Struthio camelus: one gene and its partner. The protein of the gene in region 1 interacts with the protein of each later gene in a biochemical or structural test. Links are inferred from orthologs where the notes say so. Each region holds a gene or a part of one and is shown on either strand. Other genes may lie near its edges.

Evidence for each region.
Region 2: the proteins of torsin-1A-interacting protein 2 (region 1) and torsin-1A form a complex in vitro, tested with the Homo sapiens proteins (4 studies listed by BioGRID and IntAct, with this or other methods). The link is inferred for Struthio camelus from reciprocal best matches to the Homo sapiens genes TOR1AIP2 and TOR1A.

What each region holds. Positions count from the first base shown.
Region 1 is NC_090949.1:6,528,459-6,535,562, forward strand, and holds the start of torsin-1A-interacting protein 2, read right to left. Parts: upstream 3,619-7,104; 5' UTR 3,424-3,618; intron 2,305-3,423; 5' UTR 2,195-2,304; coding exon 2,161-2,194; intron 376-2,160; coding exon 70-375; intron 1-69. UniProt on the Homo sapiens protein: Required for endoplasmic reticulum integrity. Regulates the distribution of TOR1A between the endoplasmic reticulum and the nuclear envelope as well as induces TOR1A, TOR1B and TOR3A ATPase activity.
Region 2 is NC_090961.1:6,712,976-6,720,079, reverse strand, and holds the start of torsin-1A, read right to left. Parts: upstream 3,725-7,104; 5' UTR 3,692-3,724; coding exon 3,478-3,691; intron 3,056-3,477; coding exon 2,790-3,055; intron 998-2,789; coding exon 822-997; intron 729-821; coding exon 601-728; intron 1-600. Other genes in the region: C20H9orf78 (splicing factor C9orf78 homolog), read right to left, coding at 5,166-5,257, 5,740-5,838, 6,610-6,746. UniProt on the Homo sapiens protein: Protein with chaperone functions important for the control of protein folding, processing, stability and localization as well as for the reduction of misfolded protein aggregates.

The DNA of each region.
Region 1 (7,104 bases):
TCAGCAAAGCCCCTGGTTATCAGCATTTTGGAAGTGCCATGCAAACACACAGATGGGGAGAGGACTCACCTCCATCTGTGTCATCTTCTGCCTGGGATCTTTCTGAGAGACCATCTCCTGTCTCTCCAGATTCTTCCAATGACGCTTTGGTTTCCTGGGGGACCTTCTCCTCTACTGTAGGGCCAGCCTGCCCCAAGTGTGTCACCTTGCCCCCAGCAGCAGTCGATGATTCACCCACTGCAGGATCCCTCTCCTCTGGTTTGCAGGAGGTTTCAGGCCAGCTGCTCGTCACTTGGTGCCCAAGTGCTTCTCGGGGGCTCTCTTGGTGGGCAGGATGCTCTGCTGTGCTCTCCCCCTCATCCTGGGCTGGCCCAGCTGTTGGCATCAGAGTTCACAGCTCAAATCTCCATACAGGAGTCAAGAAAATCTACTTCTTTACCACCACCCGGCAAAACTCCCAGTCTTTGCATTTCAGAAACATCTATACAAACAAATTGCCAAGAACAGAATTTACTGTGACCAGCCATCATCACCAATGAATCGTGCTGCCTCATGCTTTCAAAAAGGACTCAACTGGGTCTTTGCATTTGTGACTGCAATAGTGGCTACGCAATGACTAATCACTTTTAGGGACACACTCCTCTATCTACACTTCAACCTGTCCAGGGCTGGTAAATAGAAATGCTTTTAATGCACAAACCCCGTTAACGTTGCCCTATGATGGGGAGCAGTTTCTTCATTAAGTGTTAGGATATGTTACCACATCTTCCACAGACAGTGGTTTTCCTAGGCTGGTAAATTAAGATGACTGATCTGAAGCGTTTCTAAAGCTGTTGTTGGATATTGGCCGGAATAGTTAATGTCAACACTCTGAGCATCTGCCTGAAAAAAAATTAAATGTTAGCTCTGTTTGTGCTCTGTCCCTGTTCTGGAGCTGTTCTCCCAAACAGTTAAGATCAGGTATTGTAGAAGCAGCAAATTAAGAGCAAATATCAGAGAGGAATTCAACAGAGAGATTCTGAAGCTGAACATTAGTTTGGCAAGATCTGGAATCTTGCAAATGCTTAACACTGCAGCTCAAATCTGACTTTTTTTTTTTTTTAAACAAAAAGGGCGGGAGTGTGAATGATCCTACAGATCTAGCTCTACAGTGACAGAAATGATTGTGCTAAAATTAGAATAAAGATTGATTAAAAATCGCAAGGAACTCCCCACTAATTTGAAAACAGACAAATAGCTGCACTGGTTTCGTGTCAGAACACACTGTCCTTTGGAGCATGATTATTACGTTCTTTGTTGCTGATTATTATGGGAACATTTCAGAACGCTTAGGACAGGTCTTATCTGATTATAGCATCTAGGCATCACTGAAATACCCACATGTACTACTAATAACAAGGTACCAGGAGAATGTAAGTACATGCTAGACATTGAAACGTGAGGAACCTGAGAGGTATCCTGCTATTCAAACTGGGCACAAACAGCGCCTGTCCAGGGAGGTTTCCCATCCATAGATGGTGGAAGAAGGGCTTGTTATTTAAGCACCTGTAGATTTGTGGAATCTGGGCTCTGCAGTTTGGATCCTGAGCTTGAGCCAAGTTGTCTCTGTGTGAAATGTGTGCCTGCCTGCCAGGTATAAATAAGCCTTTGAGGCTCGCTGCTCAAATGGAAGTGTATTTTGTTATAAACTCAGAGCTGCCTTTCTAAGGGGGTCCGTCTGAGATACCAGTGTTCAACAGAGCCTCTTCTTCCTCAGCGGTAATAGGAAGGAGTTGCTCTCCAGCCCCTGCCACCCATTGCATGTATCCCCGCGATGGGAGTTGCTCTACTGGATTGTCCTCTCTCTGGCCTGCTGCCCCAGAGAGGGTATTCTCCTCTCTGCAACCAGCTTCACAACAAAGCTGCCTCTCATGGGGAAGCGCTGGGAGGCTGGGAAGAAACCTCTCCCATTCTGGAGTCCTTCTTGCGCTACAGTCCTGGACACCAAGTCTAAGCTTGTTGCTGCTGGGAATCCAAAACTGAAAGTAACTTATCCTTCCCCTCCCTCCCCACCCCCGCAAAAGATAGCCGCTTTCTCTTTCTTGCTTCAGGTTTCCCTTTTCACTGTTGAAATTTTCTTGCAAAGGGGCAGTACATGGAGCACGAGTGGGATTTGCTTACCTTGGCAGAGGTCCGCATTTGGATTCTCTTCCATTTTCTTGCTCTCTTGGAGTCCTGGGCTCTGCACTGTTCTGTTTCACTTTCCGACTTGGTCATAAGGAGACTTGTCTCCCTGCCGCTTGAGTGGCCGAGCAAGTCCTACCCCTGCACGCAGACACCATCCCTTCAGGGCCTCAGGAATTGCAACTAACCACCAGTAAAACTGATAAGCACAAGCGCAGAAGCTGTGATTGAGTGGAAGAGGAGGCTGCTCCCTCCCTGTCTGTACTTATCAAGCTGCTTGGGTGATGTGAAAATGGATGGATGTGCCCAGGCGCATTTCCAATAATGCATGACACGAGCGCTTGAGCCCAAACAATAGTAACTATTTCACCTGCCCAGCAGGCTACAAACAGTCCAGGGGCTGCACCAGTTTTGCAGAGCTGTCCTGGGACAAGCCAGCACGCCCGGGCAGGGGTTTCTTATCCAGCCGGGCAGCCGCAGCCATGCTGTGCCGCCTCCGAGACTGCAGGCCTCGAGGCTGCGGCTCTGCAGGCTCTTACATGCAATTGGAGACACCCGGTATCCTGCACAACGCAGCTGCATCGACACAGAGCAAAGCCCTAGCTTTATTATGATATTAATAATTACTTTTTAATGTTAATTAATGGATATTAATAAACTGGGAGCTGCGGGCCGACTCTCCTACACCATCCGCAGCGATAGTCCCTCCCGCAGCAGAAGCACCGTGGGAGCAGGCAGCCGCCCGCAGCAGGTAGCTAGTATTACTGGCATAGCCGAAGACAGCGAAGCTGTGTTTTCAAGACCACTCGGAAACCTCCAGACAGGGAGTCTTAGAGGAAACGGGCACTGTGGAAGCAGACTTCTCTGGTGCCCGCGTTTCCCCATCAATACAGACTCCAGCCCATAGGTTTCATGAGCGCAACGCCTGCCCGACCACCAGCCAGCAAGGGTGAGCAGCAGGGAGCAGGTACAACGCACGAGAAACTTTCCCTGCCAGGGACCAGTTCCTGCAGATTTACGTGAAATACAAGACCTCAATATCCGATCTTTACAGCAGCTCTCCTAGCCGAAGGGGGCACCTTCTGCCACCCGATGCTGTCTCTATAACCGGGTTTTCTTGCTGCCTATGAGGCTGGGGGGGGATATAATTGCTGCTGGGCTCGCGTCCCTCCCGTCCCCTCCCCGCGCTGGGTCCCCGCAGTGACGCTGGCAGAAGAAGGAAGTCGGAGGAGCAAAGTCTCTGCTGGAGTCAGCGCTTACCCGTGCAGGTTTGGAGCCGGTCCAGGTGGCGAAGCCAAGCAGAGGGGCTGCAAGAGGCGGCTGGTGACAGCACCGTAGCGTGCGCGCGCCCTTCCCGGAGGCCTGGTGGCCCCGCGGTTGGCAGGACAGCCCGTTCCCCAGCCGTGCACTCTTAATCCTCCGCTGTCAACGTGACAGTGAACTCTGCCCTTCCCCGGTGCCCAGGCAGGCTGCTGGGAGCTGTAGTTTTCCTTCTTTCCCTCCGAAGACGGCTGGCTTTTCCTTAATGAGCAATAACTAGATCAGCAAGGGCATTGCGCCAAGGAGTATTTAGGAAAAGGTCACTTTTTTTTTTTTTTTTGGCTGTATTTCTGAAACTCTGCAGTTGCACGCAGTTTCCTTCAGGCCAACCGAATGACTAGCTTCTTTCCATGTTAGGTAACAGTGTTGCAGATTTAAATAAATCGCAGCAGGGAGAGAAATTGTTTTGAGAGATGATTTAGGAAGACTGAAGTATTACAAAATGCCCCAAATGTAGCCAACAACCCTCAGACTCTGGAAAAGTCACCTTCTGGGAGTGCAGGGAGGCTGGGGCATTCCCGTGAAAGGGAGCGTGTTGAGCACCCGCCTGGAGGGGAACCAGGCGCGGGGATGTGCCCGGCACCTCAGCAGGCAGAAGAGCCCAGAGCGAGCCTGTGCAGCTGCTCCTGGCCTTGCTGGGGCAATGATTTTCAAAAGACATTATAATTGGCCTCACTGTGTCCGCACAAGGGACAGACGCTTTCTGCCCCCTGCCACCCGATACCCTGCTGGGGGGCATTTCAAGGGGACTGGTGGCGTGGAGCAGGGCACAGTGGGGTGGAAAGGCATCCGGTGCGAGGAACAGCTATGCAGAGACTGGAGCCCTCCTCTGAGCCCGCAACCTTTTTACCAGCACCCCAGGGGAGCCCAGTGACAAACTGCTGAAACAAAGTACAGAGAAAGGCAACCGAAATAGTACAGGTATGGAGCAGAGAGTAAACGGCTGGGGCTCTTCCATTTGGAAAGCAGAGAGGGGATTTGATTGATGCTGAGTTGTTACTCACCAGGTCCCTCAGTAAGAGAACGTGGGGCACTTGATAAAACAGGTAGGAGGTCAGGTTCAAGTGGGCAGAAAAAAAAAATACAGATGCAGAAAATGTAGAAACTTTCAGATTTTGTTGCTACAGAAGGCTGTGGAGGCAGAGTGTCAGCAGGTTCAAAAAAAGGATTGGACTAATTCATGGACAGCAGGTCCACCAGCAGTTAATGCAGGACTGGGCAGGGATGTACCTGGCAATGAGAGATGCCATTTAGGTGGAGCATGTGAGCTGGGTGCCGCTCTGTGGTCGCTTTCCTCACACTCCCCCCGCATCCCGAACCATTGTACTGGGGGTGTTACAGCCAAAAAGAGGTCAACTGGGCCATTGGGCCTGCCGGATGGCCTGCTCCCTCTTTCCAAAGGCCTCCATGACCTGTCCCCCTGCCTGTGCCTGCTTTTGTGTCCGTCCCTCAACCTATTGTAATTGCTCGGTTACGGGACAGACATGCACGTGTGCCATGCTACACAAACGGTTAAGTGTGTATATGCGTATCAACACCCATGCTGGTCATAGCAGAAAGGTGGTACCTTATTTTAAGATGTGTGCATGGGCACAAGATTGTACAGATTTTATGACAGAAACAAATCTGCTTGCATGATGTGGACTAATACTTCTAAGATACATGCTGATTTAGGCTGGATAGAGAATAGATGGGCTTCTTCATGGTCAGTATGGATCTCCCTGTTTTCCTACCTCCTGTAGCAGTAGCAAGATTGCACCTGCTCTCCAGCAGTGAAGAAAGGCAGGCAGCTTCCTCGGGGAACTGCAGAGCCACCCTGTTGATAGTGGCTGGGAGGGGACAGAGTCCACCTCCTTTCTTGGCAGATTCAGCAAATTCTTTTATCACGGCCAACCCCTCACAGGTTGCAGTAGAGGACTATAAATCCAGGGAGGTTGGCGAAGCAGGAAGCAACAGTCTCCGTGGCTTATCTACAGAGAGCTCTCCTAGCATCATAGCTGCCGGATAGTCCCAAGATCAGGCTGTGAGTAGATCAACACCTTCCTGAGGGTCCTGGTCTTTGCTGCTGTCCACCTTGCACGCCTGGCCAAAGATACGTTTGACTTGATCTGCTTCGAGCCATAAGTAAGAAATAGGAAAGGTGGTCAAAGTGGACAGGAGCTGCAGGGGACCTCAGGAAAAGGCAGGGAGATTATTCAAAGGAGAGAGCAAGAGGAGAAAGTTGGTAACGTTTGCAGATGTGTGAGGACGCTTCATCCAGGTCACTGATGAAGCTGTTGAACGCTGTCACTCCCTGCCTCCACCTCTGGGCTTGCTGCTTGCTGCTGCCTGGATGTTGAGCCCCCCGATTACTAACCCTCTATGCATTATAGATTACTAAAACTGATGGTGGCACTGCACCCGCCAAGGACCGTGAGTCAGGACAAAGTCAGGCACTAGTGTAAGCCTTTGCAGACTTCACGCTTCGTTACTGAAAAGCATTTTGGCAAGAGAATTAGCTACGACAAAACTGTTTTGGCACTATCCAGGATCACACAGCTATTACAAAAAAGCATGTTGACATTGTGTAATGTTGCTTTTTCCCTTTTAGCGTTCATGCCCTTGCATTTCAGCTGGCATACAGAACTCTGACTTAACAAATCTGATCCTTTTTTAACCCAAGTCTGATGAGGAGTTTTCTTTAAAGAGGAATAGTCTCCCCTCTCAGTCTGCAGGAGGACGAACGGTAATCATAAATCAACTGGATTATAGAGAACATGCTTTCGAGTCCTATTTTTCTTTACCTAATGTCATTGTTTACATAATGTAACCATTTAGTTCTGTTCTTTGGAAACCTGTGAATAAAGCGGTACTTCTTCTAACTTCATTTCCAGCAGGTCACCTGCCTGATCAGAAACGATGAGTCAGTCATCCGGCAGCTCTTTTTTCTACTCGGGTTTGAATCAGAACGAGCAGTGCCGTTGTACTTTGAAACCTCCTTCCTAATGAGGTTATTTATCACACCCTCTTCTGAGTTTTTGCTTTCGGAAACATTGCTCTGCCTCTGCATTCAGCTTCCACACCTGGAGAGAAGGGCGGTATTTACTGGTACGCGCCAAGGTGCCCGTTAATTTGTCCGGCAAATACCGCCTTGCCTCCAAACGAGACGGGTGCCGTGTGCCGCGGGCTCTCGCACCCGCCCGCTCGGGCTCGAAGGGCGCCCGCAGCCGGGGCGGCCAGGGCCGGTGGGGCCCCCGCGGCCTTTACCAGGCCCGAGGCACCGAGGCCGCCGCCGCCTGAGGCGGGCAGGCAGGCGGGAGGCCGGGCCAAGGGGGCCGGCCCGGCGCGCTGGGCTCTCCTTCATTTTTTTCACTTGGGGGCAGCGTGGGGCGCCGGGACGGCCGCCGCCTTTCCCGTCGGAAGCGGGGGCGGACGGGCGGGCTCCGGCGGCCGCTGCCGCCGCCTCAGCGGCGCGAGGAGGGGGAGGGCAGAGAGGAAAGGGCGGGAAGGGCGCGCGGCCATGCCGGGGGTCGGGGCGCCGCTGTACCACGTGACACCGCGGCGCTCCATCCGCCCGCCGGCCCCGCCGAATGGCGGCGCGGCGGAAGCGGCGGCCGCCGGCACCGCCCCGCGGCGGGAAGT
Region 2 (7,104 bases), on another chromosome or scaffold:
TTAAAATGTCAATAAACGCTCAGAGTAGACAATCCCCAACATACGTAACCCAACAGAGTCACCGAGTAAACATGCCGGTAGCCAAGTCACACACAGAGTTCCTAACCTCCATTTCATCTCAATAGCAGTCTGTAGGCCTCAGACCTGCACCATGGCTCCTCACTAGCTGAAAACCGGAGCCCATGTCAAGTGGAAGCCACAGCTGTACAAGCGCAGTTCGTACATTAAACGTGGCATCGCTTTTGTTTATATACCTATCTCCCAGCAAATAAATCTCTCTACTGTTCTAGAACAAACATACGATTTACATTTTTCACACCACAGCTGCTCACAGGCATACCATCGACAGCTGATGAATCCATTCCTATACATCAAAGTTAGCGGGATGATCTGGCAGACATCTCCAGAGACTTCATCCAGCATCTTGCAGAAGCCCAAACTCCTCTGAAAATCTTTATACTAGATGTGGTGGCTCCCAAAAGCACAGAAGCACCCAAAAAACAGGGATATATATGTCTTTGTGCAACACCGGAAATGGCTGAGGAGCTGTCAATCCAGACAGGGATTTACAACCTTGAAAGCAATCAAAGTTCTACTCACTATTCTTGTTATTGAAGACAGACACAGACAGCGCATTCTGCATATCTGTGAGCTGTATATCTTCCCTTGTCCTTCCTTTTCTCCAGAAATCTAGTGCCACCTCTGTTATTTTTTCAGCTCCCGCATTGCTAAGTAAAGAAAAAAAACAAAGATTGCAGCTGGAGACAGTTTTGTAGTGCACTGAGTGTACAGAACTGCAAACTTGAGAGGCCACTTCTTACCTGAGGAATATGAAGATGGCTTTCCGGTAAGACACTCCATTAAGAAGCTCATAGTAGTCCAAAAATGGCTTGATGGAGTCAATGAGCCCTGCATGCATTTTATCCATTTCATCAAATATGAAGAGTGATCTGGGACAGATGCTCACATTTCCCCGAATCCATGACTGCAGCTGGTCCTGAGAGGCATAAAAATAAAAGTGATTGAAAGAGTTCATTTGAAAAGACAGAGAATAGGTCTTGTGCTTATTCACTTTTGTTCTGAAAGTGTCGTTTCAATCATGTCATCTTTAACCATGTTTTAGTTAAGAAGCCAGAGGTGTTAAAAGCTGTAAATAACACTACAGCAAAATGTCATACTGGTTCTGAAAACTTAAGATTCAAAATACCAGATACCAAGAAACAGGATGGGGCAAGCATGAAATCTCCTCATGGAAAAGATATTCCTGTAAACACAGCAAAAAGGAGAGTCCGCACACTAGGACAAAGGAGGGGTACCACCACGAAACAGCAACACAAAGCAAAGCCCTGTCAGCTAGGCTGATTACTTTTGGCAGCACTTTGGTCTAAATGTCTTCAGGTGTCCAAACAACAATATAAATTTGCTACTTGAAGAGCATCAGTGAAAAAATCACATTTATAGACCGAGTCACTAGCATAAGTACAAACACAATTAAACACTCAGTCCTGAGTTTTAATCATCTAGAAGTTAAGCGAAGCTGATTACAAACCCTTCTTAAAACACAGCATTGTTTAGAAAGGCTAATACTTTATAATGATTTAAAGACTTTCTCATTGAAGTGTTACATTTAAGATAATAATGAAATAGTAAGAAAAATAAATGGGGGGGGGGGGATTGATCTGTTTGGCAGATGAATGAGTAGTAACCGTTCTGACTGTTTTCAATGATTCATCACTTTCTGAGGTTCCCTGTTTAATCGGTCCCTGAACCACACTGAGACAACACAGGAAGACAGCACTGGCTGTACTGCAGATAAGAAGTGACAGCTCCTCCTACTGTCTCGGGCAGCAAGTTTCCCAAGCAGAAACTTGTTATGAATTCACCTCATAACAAAGACAGAAGAGGATCCATTTTATTTCAAAACAGCCCAGTTGCAAAAAGGGCAACAGTTGGCCATAAAAGAGGAAACAGTCTACAAACCTACTTTCTGTATGGAGGAAACCCATCCTATTCCCATTTTCAACATGTACACGTTGAAGATAAACATGAAATACAGTGCTACTCATTCACACTCTGCTACCAACAACATTAGAAGAACTCACGAACGCAGAAAATGCATGTCTGCGCTGTACTGCCCCTCATTACATCCACCCACCTAGAGTACTGCCCTGACACTTTTAGCAGACTGGCAGAACAATTCCAACTATATTTATCTGTACCTTTCTGAAGACAGTCTTTTGTAATTTGATTTTACAGCTGGGAAATGGATACATAGAAAAATTAAATAAACTGCCCAGCGTGTGATGAAGGAGAAAAGCGCACCCATGTCTCAGATACCCTTCAGCTATCCACGGTACCTGACATACTTGAAAGCTGTCAGCCGTTTCTCCAGAGTCATAAATTCTTATTTGTTTTTGCAGTGCCCATCAGCGTATCACCTATCCCTTGCAGCCTGCTGAATACCCTTTATCATTAAGCAGATCTCTAGATCTGCATCTCTAGACAAAGTATATAGCAATGAAAATGAACCACATCATTTTTCTCTAAGGGGAGGCTCAAAACATTATGCAGAAAATGGCTTTACATTCATGGGAAATCAGTCCTGGTGCATGTTAGGATTTATCCAATTCAGTTTAAGAGATTCCAAAACTGGCACCGGCTACATTTTACAGTGCAAAATAGCATCTAGGCTTCTAGTGCTGACTGTGCCATAACTTTTATAAATTAATACAACAGCTACTGCTGCAGAACTGTGCTCTACTGCTAGGAGATCCACAACGTATTCTTACCTTGTACAGATTGATGCTGTCAGCATGAGGAAAATGCAACGTAGCCACAAACTGATGGACGTATTTACTCTTCAGGCCTTTTTTATAAATGCTTTCGGCAATTATCTTACTGACAAAGTTTTTGCCTGTTCCAGTCCATCCGTGCAAGGACAGGGCAAGAGGCTTTTTGGGGTCTGTGTTATTCAAGAAGCCCTTCACGGCCTTTACAATCACCTTGTTCACTAGGTGCTGTCCAAACAGCTTTCTGTCCAAGCTCTCCTGAAGGCCTGGATGGAGAAGATAACACCATAAGGGAAAAAAAAATAGCAAAAGAGACAATAAGTTTTAAGTCCTACTGGTTTCTAAGGAGGGCCCCGTATCACCGCCAACCCCAGCTCGAACTCCGCCAACCCCAAGCGAGGGATCAAAGGGCTGGCCAAGCTGGAGCACCGGGTGCCCGGCCCATCCCCACAGGGAACCGAGCGGGTCCGGCTGGTGGCCCCCGGCCCCGAGCGGCCTCGCCGCGCCCCCGCCACCAGGGCCGGCAGGAGGGGGCGGCAGGGAGCGTCTCCCCTTGGGTTCCCCCTGCCCAGTTCCGGCACCGAGGGACCCCGGCCACGGCCCCGACTCCCCCCGCCGCCCCGGGCTCGTCGCTCAGCTCCGCGGCCATCCCCTCGGCCTGCCCGGCCCGGCCCGGCCCGGCCCGCACCGGCGGCGGCGCGCCTGTCGTGGCGCTGGAGGCAGCACTCCCTGAAGTAACAGTAGACGCGCGGGTAGGAGATGAAGCCGGTGAGGGCCGAAGCGGCGGCGCCGGCGATGGCCAGTCCCAGGCTGATGGGCTCCACGGCGCGCGCGGGCCCCAGCAGCGGCAGCAGCGGCAGCAGCGCCAGCGCCACCGGCAGCGCGCCCCGCCGCAGCTTCATGGCCCGCCCGGCCCGGCCCGGCCCGGCCCCGGCCGCCGCTGCTTCCGCCGCCGCCGCGCGTCGCTTCCGCCGCCGCCATCTTAGGTCCGGGCAGAGGCGGAGCCGGCGCTAAGGGCAGGCGGCCATGTTAGCAGCGCACCCTCCGCCGCCGTCACGGGACACGTCACGTCCCTTCTTTGGGACAACAACGTGACGCGCCTTCGTGTCGCGACATGACGTGACTCGACCCCGCAAGGCCCGCAGCACAGCCTGACGGGCTTAATTCAAACAGGCCGCGCCTGGAAACGGTTAGCCATGGCGTCCCTGCACGGTAGCAGGCGCTGCAAGGGCAGAGGCGCGGCCCCACACCTGTAGACACGTACTCTCCCACCCCCTTTTTTTTTTTTATTAAACCTGTTTTTTATTTAAATGAAAAATTTGGGTCTATCCCCCAAGTCCCCGGACTTTCCACTCCCCAATGAAGAGATGCTAACGCCTTCACGGCCGCAGGGCACCCTGGCCGTCATCGCCACGAGCACTGAGAAGTTAGCTGCCCGTTTCCCTGAAAGAAAAACTGTCACTTGGGATAATTTAAAAACACTTTTATTATTTCTTATTTCAAAATCTTGCCCTCAGGTTACCTCACATCACGTTTCCTGGGGACACGTGGCTCTCACAGGCCTCAGGCCTCTTCACCTACCGCCACACTGGCCCCATCCGAAGACGGCTGAACATGAGATTTTCCTCACGTTCACGCAATTACAACCTGATCCAGTTTCCTTATTCTTTACAACTAAAATACAATGCAATGAACTGCTGTAGAAATAAGTCCAGAGGGAGGAAAAGATACAAAACAACACTGCGCACCATAAAATAAAAAGTGTAACCTCCATTACTCGGTATTTGCTGTCATTCCTAGCACAGATGAGACGACCCAAGCTATGCTGTGGCCAGGCACAGCTAATGCCAAGATTTCTCCCGGCATCCGTCTGCACTCAGAAGCTGGGCCCAAGAGCAGCAGCACTGAACGTGCTACTGGGGTATCTTACACGCTCTGCACAGCAAAAACCCTTGGGAACAAACAAGAAGTCTCTTACGAAGCTGATTATAGCAAACTGGCTTGAACCTTTTCCCTTACATTTACAAGCCAAACAGCACTGCTGCCTTTACAAGGTCTCTTTCTTTGTATTTTTTAAGAATATGTAAGAATCTGTAAACAAGCCTGACTTCCCACTAAAAAATGCCAACCAGAAAGCTCATGTTCTTAAAAAAAGAAGTTTTATAACTGAAAATAAATTATACAAAAGATTTTACTGACTGAAGAGTTCACAATCACCTGCAAACTGATTCACTACAGGATCACAACAAGAAAAGCCTTGTAGTTAACACCAGCATGTGAAGGCAGTGATTCCCACCCCCTCCACGAGTCACTGACACAAGATCCTGTGCTGGTGGAAAATAACAGCTCCTGCAAAGACTTCAGACCGCGCTCTCATCAGTATCGCCTATTCATCTTCTTGAATTTCTCATAGTGATAATCGTCTGTTGCTTTTTCATTGGGTGGACGTTTGCGATTTGGAGGAGACCCTTCAAAAGAAATACAAGAAAATATTATTTCCTGTCCTTTCACGTATGTAACAGAAAGGAGGAGACATTTCCTTAGCACTACCACTTCCCCTGTGAACTCCTCTAAAGCCACACAACTGACATCCTCTTGCTGCGTGAAATCTGGTTATTCCCTTAGCAGTCAATGCTCCTTAACCCAGCATCCCTAGCTACTCCAGCTCTCTCATCACACCCTCAGCAATCAGATTTGTCAATGTTTCAATCTTGACCTTGGACAGCCTTGGATATCTGTAAAGACATCTTCCATCCAGATGTCTTCATGCGTAACCTAGCAGGGGAGCCAGACCCTCCCATGGGACTTCAAATACAGACTGCTCCACTCCTCCGCTACTTCAGCATCCCCATATTTAAGAGAAGGCAAGCAGAGCCTCATCACTCTGTGCAAGATCCCTGAAGAGTTTCAGTATCTCCACTTAAAAAAATATATCAGATTAGGAACTTACGCTCAGGTTCTGGCCTCTCTGTATCCCCCACTCTCAGTGGACGGGGCTTTGGTTCTTCTTTATTCCTTCTCACTGGTGCATTTAGCTCCTCATGATAAACTGAGAAAAGGAAGACATCAGATACAGAATATTATGGTTATTCAGTAGTGTAATTCGGATGCACATACCTCTATAGCATCTGTTACAACTAAGCAGAAACAACGCAACCTCAGAACAAGCATTCTTGTAATCGGTTCTATGAGTAATCGATACACGCAAGATGGGATCCACCAAACTTCAGTAGCACTAGTTCATCAAAAGTGGTTGTAAGACTCTTCATTTCCTTTGGAACACACAAATCTGACTCTAAATCACCCCTGCAGGCGTGGTTAGACACAGCAGAAGGCTGCCTTTCCTCCAGATGGCTGCAGTATGAGAGGCTCTCCAGGAAATTAATTCCCATCTCCTGTCTAGTAAAATCTATGTTTGCTTGACCACCTGTCTGCTTTGGCAACCTACAGAATGGCTTCTCTCAATTGTAAACCATCATTTATAATCACAGACTAGGCAGGCATTTCTAGCACATGTTCAAGATATAACTTAAAGAAAAAGTCTTGAAATTTATGAGGCACAGTCAAGAGACTGTCAAGGGAGTTCGAGAGCAGAAGGTTAAGCCATAAGTAATACGTCCTTCTCTTTCTTGCTGACGGATAGGAAAAATGGGCCATGCCAGATGGGGTCTTTATGAGCATCGCAGAAACATGAATCGGACAGCTGTTTGTGCTGATACATGAATTAATTTCTCCTGCATCTGACTGCATCCCAACTGACTCCTGCTCTTCTGCTGAAGAGCAGGTCACATCTGGGTCAAGAGAGCTATGTGAGACTTACATCTGTTGTGCTGGACATAGTTGACAGCCATGTTTGTGGGAACAAAGGAAGTTTCACTGTCTTTCTTCTTGTTCTGTTGCTCTGCCAGCAGCTTAGCCTTGGCCTCTTCAGTTGAGATGATGTTTTTTATTTTTGCACTAAAAGAAAAGCAAAGAAAAAATACTCATTCATATTTACAAAGGGCGGCAGGCAGAGAAGTTGTTCTAAGTGGATGGATTTGGGTACAATAATAGCACTGCTGTTGCACCTGATGAGTTTTTTTTTTTTTTTTTAAGAGAGGAGGCAGGGCTACAAAAACAGATGCTTTGTTACAATGGGAAAAGGGAAACTCAAATCTTTATCATATCCTCTTTCAGTGCAGGGCATAAACTGATCCTCCAAGAAGCTGCTAGATTGCGCTCACAAAAATCAAGAGCTTCTTTCCGTAAGTCAGCTATGGTCCTGTGCTGGAGCAGCCCTAGACACTGCGTAGCACATGCTGTTCTAGATATTGTG